Linked DNA regions of Kluyveromyces lactis. The protein of the gene in region 2 interacts with the protein of the main gene of each other region in a biochemical or structural test. Links are inferred from orthologs where the notes say so. Each region holds a gene or a part of one and is shown on either strand. Other genes may lie near its edges. The genes, in order: ECO1 and MCD1.

What was found.
Region 1: of the proteins of MCD1 (region 2) and ECO1, one has a biochemical effect on the other in vitro, tested with the Saccharomyces cerevisiae proteins (3 studies listed by BioGRID). The link is inferred for Kluyveromyces lactis from reciprocal best matches to the Saccharomyces cerevisiae genes MCD1 and ECO1.

What each region holds. Positions count from the first base shown.
Region 1 is NC_006038.1:586,033-588,993, forward strand, and holds ECO1 (Eco1p), read right to left. Parts: upstream 1,375-2,961; coding exon 559-1,374; downstream 1-558. Other genes in the region: phosphoprotein phosphatase CDC14, read left to right, coding at 1-383; putative uridine kinase DAS2, read left to right, coding at 2,789-2,961. UniProt on the Saccharomyces cerevisiae protein: Required for establishment of sister chromatid cohesion during S phase but not for its further maintenance during G2 or M phases or for loading the cohesin complex onto DNA.
Region 2 is NC_006042.1:1,366,571-1,370,656, reverse strand, and holds MCD1 (kleisin alpha), read right to left. Parts: upstream 2,464-4,086; coding exon 661-2,463; downstream 1-660. Other genes in the region: RQC1 (Rqc1p), read left to right, coding at 1-548; ATP16 (F1F0 ATP synthase subunit delta), read right to left, coding at 3,676-4,086. UniProt on the Saccharomyces cerevisiae protein: Cleavable component of the cohesin complex involved in chromosome cohesion during cell cycle. The cohesin complex is required for the cohesion of sister chromatids after DNA replication.

The DNA.
Region 1 (2,961 bases), on a different chromosome or scaffold from region 2:
ATACCCAAGATGATCATACAATGACTCCTCCGTCTGTATCAAAGAAAACAATAGGCTTTCAAAAGAACTCGCATACCGCAGTACCTCAACAATCTCCTGGTCAACCAAGAAAGGGACATGGAGGCAACACAATCGAAGACATCAACAAGAAGGAAAACCAGGTTGCCGCCAAGATTACCGATAATAACAGTGACATAGATGATTCCATGAATACTGATAATAGCATGAAAACGTCTCCAAATGACACAAGACAAGTTAACAACTCGTCTATAGAAGACACAGACGCATTGAGACAAATTCTGCCTAAAAACAGACGTCTGGCGTCATCAAACGGAAAAAGAACCACCAGTGGGGTCAGAAAGATATCGTCGAGTAAGAGATAGAGATTGACCGTTGTACGAATATTTTGCCTGTGTTGGTTACAGTTTTGCAAGTAGAAACCAAATCAGCTTTCATATCAATTTCACATAATTACACGCTTTGGTTGCAACCGTCTATGCAGTTGGATGCTTCTCTTTTATTCGTTTCGTTATTCATCTACTTGCATACTAATATGTATCATATGTAACACGGTATTAAAAGTTTTCCTGAGCGATGTTTTGCAGCATTATAGCTTTTAGCCAATATGCTACCGCTTTGGCTTGGTTGTGACCATGCCAGTTCCCATTTATTGACAATACATCCGTATATTGATTTCTTCCTTGCGACCTCTAGTAGTCTTGTAGCAATGCCATGTTGCCTTTGATTTCTACATACCCATATTCTCGATATTCCCAGTTTGACGTCCGGTACTACATTCGGTACTATGGCTTTGGTGTCCAATACCATCCATTTACCTCGGTTGGTATTCTCGATGTACTCGATTGTAATAACTCCAACAGCTCTATTCTTCTTTACGTAGATAAACGCTTTACCTTGTGATTTGCCGGACTTATCCACCTCAGACCAAAAAGCATTCTCATCATGAGGTGCATTTAATTCTTCATTTACAATTGACATCAAGTCGAGTGCAGCCTTCACTTCGTTAGCTTTCTTTGGAGAAATCATGACAATGTACTCATCTTCTTCATATAAGGTTTGGGACGGGAGTTGAAAGGACATCACTTTTTTATCCTTTTCAGACACCATTGAATATTTCAGTTGTTTCTCTGTTTTAAGAGCCTCTACTCTATTAATGATGTCGCCCCAACTCTGAGACCACCTTTTCCCATTTAAATGTAAGTCATGATATCTTTTGTGCTGCACCAGATCACTAGGAGAATTAGTGCTATAAGTTATCGAACACTTCGGACATTTTACCAGAGTTGGGGTCGATTTAAACTGTAACGTGGCTTGAATAGACTTTTTAGTCTTTGGTGACCGATATTTGGACATGTACGGTTGATTGGAGAGCTTTGATTGGTGGCAATTTACTGACGCGTTTTTACTTTTGATAATTACACGTTAGAAAGTGTAGATCGATTTATATTTCAGGTTGAAACAAGGGTATTGTTCATGAGAGAAAACTGGTAAGAACGGTAAGCAAAGAGATGCTGCATTTACCATATATGCCTCTGTGTATCCAGTTTATGCAATAGGGAACCAATTACGAGAAAATCGTGTATTCTTCCTTAGAGCTAATGGAGTTTGTCACATGGTTACCATGTTGTGGTATGTGACTATACATGTCACGTGGCTTTGATCTTATCAGATCTTTATTAGAAGAATCCATCTTGATTAGCTATATATCTCCTAGAATAATTAGATGCACCTGGTGTCTGTAGATCTGATTCCTACTAATTAGTAGATTAGATCTGAGTACTGGTTTATATACTTTGTTATGTGTCAGTGACACAAAACCATTATTAACCGCCTATTATATTTGTATTACCCGGTCATGCGTTATGACTAGTTCCAACAGTCTGTATACTAGTTCTACATTCTTATAACATGTCGTAAGATAGACTTAAGACAAGCCAGACGAGAGGTCATGTGAGCTAGCCAGCACACGGCAGAGTTCCAAGACGTCAGTGACTGGGCATATGGATCCTGTGGTATCCAGAGGGATGACCTAGATGGATCATAGACGGTCACGTGATGGTCTTGAGTGCGCGTGGAGGACGGTAGCTGCACAAAACCTACAAGGGCATGGAGGCAATGAGTTGCCATGACGAAGTCTGACGACCATCCGAGTATATAAGTCGAGTATAAAAGGCTGAGCTATGTTGCGACCTCTTGGGGAGGTTGGATGCAACAAGAGAAAGAAGAGCAAGGACGCATATACTCAACGATCTAGCTAAATAGATTATATTATATTCGTTATATTGTTTGATATCAACGATCCCTCATCAGGCGATTAATCAATCAACTATCATCCAAACCATATCACAACATAACATATTAATTGGGCGTGTGGCGTAGTTGGTAGCGCGCTCCCTTAGCATGGGAGAGGTCTTCGGTTCGACTCCGGACTCGTCCATAATTTTTTGACTTTTTGAAAAGCCATTTCAGCATTAATTTCTCAGTACATAAAATTACTATGTGTATGCCAAGAGTCCCAGCTCCTTTTATGAGAGATCGTATTTTTTGATTAGACCATTGCTGCGTTACAGTTTTCAACCCTCAATATTTATTATCACGACTATTCAAGCAGTAATCGCCTAATCATTGTTCATTCGGGATATTGATGAATTAAGTCATAAAAGAAAAATATGCACTTTTAGACGACCAGGGAGACAACTGTTGAATACAAACACGGCGAACAGCAGGTCTTTCAAATACTGTTTTGATCATTAGTTAAGGCAAAGTAATGTTGCATCGTATAGTTATCAACATTGCTGGCGGTCATTATGCTGGTGCTTTGCAAACCACCAAAGAAATCGAATCCAAACTACTGGGAATATTCAAGCATGATGTTAGAGTAATTGATCTCGATGAACGTGCCATCGCACCGAGACAGTATTCAGACAAAGATTACGATTT
Region 2 (4,086 bases):
GTGATCCATCCAAATTGAAAATTAAATTAAAACCTCCTACTGTGAGCGCTTCTATCGAGACAAAAGCTTATACTACTAGAATGGGCGCCATTTGGAAGGAAGCGGAAGCTAAGAAGTTTTTACTTGATGAGTTAGCAAGCATTTTTAATTCCACTTCGTTTGACACTGATGCAGTGAAGGATATAAATGATGGCGATGATGATGACGACGTGGCGCCAACATCATTCTTCATCAATAACATTCCAATTAATTTGTTAAGGTTTGCTATTCTTTCTCAAGAGTCATCCGTTATGGCTGCTATTCCCGAAGAAATTTGGTCAGATCATTCTGTGTTTGAATTCGATGTACTACCACCACAACCACATGATAGAGAAAGTGAGTATGTAGTAGAAACAATCGAAGGACTAATTGATAGTAAACATCTAGAAATATCCCAAATGAACAGGTTCGCTGATGAGGAGCTTTTACAACACATTAACCAGTTATCAATACAAGAATACTTGGAGCAGCAGCAACAACAGCAACAACCAAATGAAGAAATCGAATAGCACAACAACTTGAACTGATCTGCCGTCATGTATATTTAAACCAACTTAAAAAAACAGATATTATTAATTATTTATACATAATGTCCGTTATAAAAGTATCCAAATTAAAAGTCTATGCGGTAACAAACGTCTCATATAAGTTTGATTTTCCTAAAATTGTGATTTGTCCAAATGTTTCCTTCTGTTTCAATGATATACAGTCTGCGGTGGCAAGAGAAAGTAACTCAAAGAATGCTTTACTGGCCATTCTTTTTGTTATTACCGCGTTATCCTGGTACTTCGAAGTAAGGATTTTATCAAAAGTAGCTTCACCGGAGCTCATTTCATCTCTCAGTAGAGTTGCCATTTCCACTGTAGATTTAGACACGATTTCACCGGTAGCAAGCTCTACTTTTTGACTTTTTTCCTTTTCAATTGACCCACGAGAGGCAAATTCGTCTGATTGAATGGCTTGGTAATCATTTTCTTCCATGGATGTATCAGCTGCAAGAACTGGAGGTTCATCATCAGCAAACACTGGTCCTTCTGATTCTGCATCAAAGCCCATTTGTTGGTGATCGAATGGATCAGAATTGTGTACCAAACTTCCATCGATACCCAAAGAGATATCTATATCAACATCGGACCCATCAGATTGGCTGGATTGTGACAGAGCTCTAGGCTTCTTTGAAGCTTTATGGTTGAAGAAATTAGATATAATCTTTTGAGGAAGGAAGTCCAGGTCAGAGTATAATTCATCGATGGCTCTTTTTTTCTTTGATATAGCGGACGAAGTCTCATCAGAAACGATAAGAATTGAGTCCGATGGTCCTCCTTTCACTTCAGAATCGTTTAATTCGGCATCAGCATCTATGAGAACCTTCTTAACATTGATAAAGGCTTTATTCCTTGGTGCCCTCTTCTTTACTGCTCTAGGTGGTATGTATGCCTCTGCTTGCTCTTGATGCTCTGGTTCTGTGTCCTTTGGCAGCCCTAGATCAAAGTCTAAGAGTGTATCATCATGCAATGAGTGAGTAATATCAGCCCTTCTCCCGATCTCTACAGACATGTCGCTACCATGGCTAGACTGATTACCAGAAATATTCTGATCATCATCGTTTAATCCCAAATCCCAATCATCGTTAAGTGGTAGCAATTCATCATCATCGTCATTGTCATTTCTAATAGTCAAATCACCTTCATTTTCTCCATCATCCGCGTTTACTTCACTAGCAGTAACACGAGTCCCTTCACCCCATGATTTAGTGTTATTGCTTTGATTAGAATCACCAAGGTCAAAATCTAATTTCAAATGAGATGAATCGTGATGTTCAATAGCATTCAAGTCATCATCTTCATCTGCCAGGAATCGCCTTCCAACTTCTAAGGACATATCCCATGCTTGTTGTTGTGCTGCAATGGCGGATGTTACAGGTGCTGCTCCTTGCACTTGTCTTTCCATTGATCGTTCAGCGATCAAAAAACCTTCTGGCACTTGGATATCTTTCAAGAAATCCAAACTGGGCATCTCCAAGACGTCAAGTTCTGTAACCGCATCTTGCAATAAAAGCTGATCTAACTTTGCCACTGTATCTAGCTGAATTGTGACGCTCTTGTTCAGCGATCCCTTGAAGATAGATTTCACTTTACTCAGTAAGTCTGTGATATCAGTAAGCAGATAGGATGCTTTTTGAGAATAAACTTTTACAACACCATGTAGTAACTCACCGGAAGCACGTAATGTGATAGGTTCCACAGATTCATCATCTAGATTAACACCTGCAGCTTTGGCAATCTCTTCAACAGATTCCACGATATTAGTCTTTGCAATGTTCCGATTGATGCTACTCAAATTGGAAGCCAGCCAGATCTGAGCCAACGGCCCATTGCTTGTATTTAATCTCACCTGAGTATGTGAATTGCTATTTGGTGGCATATACGTTGTTTATTTTTGGATTAGGTGATATAAGGCTCGTGGTTCCTGTTGCAAATGGTATAGCAAATGGATATAAACTTAAGATCGAGATTAGAACTTGATCTTATAAGGAATGGTTAGCAAAATAAAAATGAAATAAAATAGCACTGTGTCTTTTTTCAGAGGTCACGACATTAAAATTCCATAGGTAATATATATATTTGATAAAATTATTGGTAAAGGTGCAATCAATATGATGGAATAGACATACTTCTCATCCAGTGTTTATCAATGATATTTGTTAAAGGATTGCTGGTTATAGATCTCATCACGGAAACGCGTTATGGAGAAAAATCGCGAAAATATTTTTGGGGGAAAACAATGTCTTTTTCTGGGACCTCAAAAGATTTCCCGCCGGAAAAATTTCGATTTCGTGGTATAAAATCCGGGTAACAAGTGAGGACCTTATACCCATTTATTACCCTGCCTTTCTAACTCTTGTTGATGCCAAAACCAGATCATCTCTCTCAGTATGCGCAGTCAGTTTAATCGGTATATATGAATATGAATCTTAAAACTAGACATCAGTTACACACAAATCGTTTCTGCTAAAAAATATAAAATCTAAGTCTTTCAATTCGGTTCTTAATTGATAATATTTTTAACGGGGATAGACAAATTATAATCGATCCAGTGTTTTCTTTGATATTGTTAGAAAGGAAGGAATAGTATATTGAAGAAAGATTTATGTTTGTTGGTCATTAAAACAAAGACTAGAACCCCCTTTTGAAACGGAATCGAGACATCACTTGTATCAACCTCCATATCATTTAGAATTTTTAGGTTTTATCGTATTTATTTCTTCTGATTTCTTTTAATTCGCTGGGTTTTAATTCGTTGTATATTTTAGTAATAGTCGTTTTAGGTTAATTCTCAATAGTTCCCAGTCTTATTCGTACGTTCACACTACAGTATTGTATGGAAAGAAAGGACAATGACCGGAGCAACAAAAAAGGGTCTTTAGGCTAAATCATGAAATGTATTCGTCGTTGTGTTGTGTAAGCTTGTGCAATGGAATAATAGGAATTAGAATAATGAAAAAAAAGCAGACGAAGGATAATACAAACGCCGAGACAGGTTTACAATCAACCGGGAAAACAATTGCTTCCAAGTAGAGTATCCGTATCAAGTGTATTATACCTTGGTCCAATTGTAATTCTTCGTTCATCTCAATTATTTCAAAGCGGCTTGCAAAGCTTCCAAAACTTCAAGTTGGATAGCAGCTTCGGCAGCAGCAACTTCGTCAGCAGAGGAGACGTTCTTTTGAGCTTCAGCCAACAGAGATCTAACGTTTTCTGGAGAGAAAGACTCTAATGGGAATGCTTCAACGGAAGTGATAGCCAAGGTAGAGTCTGGTTGGACAGTAGCGAAACCACCGGAAACAAAGAACTTCTTAGAAGAAGAACCTTCCAAGACTTCAACAACACCTGGAACCAATTGTTCAACAGTTGGAACGTGGTTAGCCAAGATACCGATTTGACCAGACTTAGCTGGCAAGTTGACTTGGGTAACTGGAGTACCAGAAAACAAGGTTTGATGTGGCAAAGCAAATTGCAACTTCAAAGCACCATCGGCAGCTTCAGC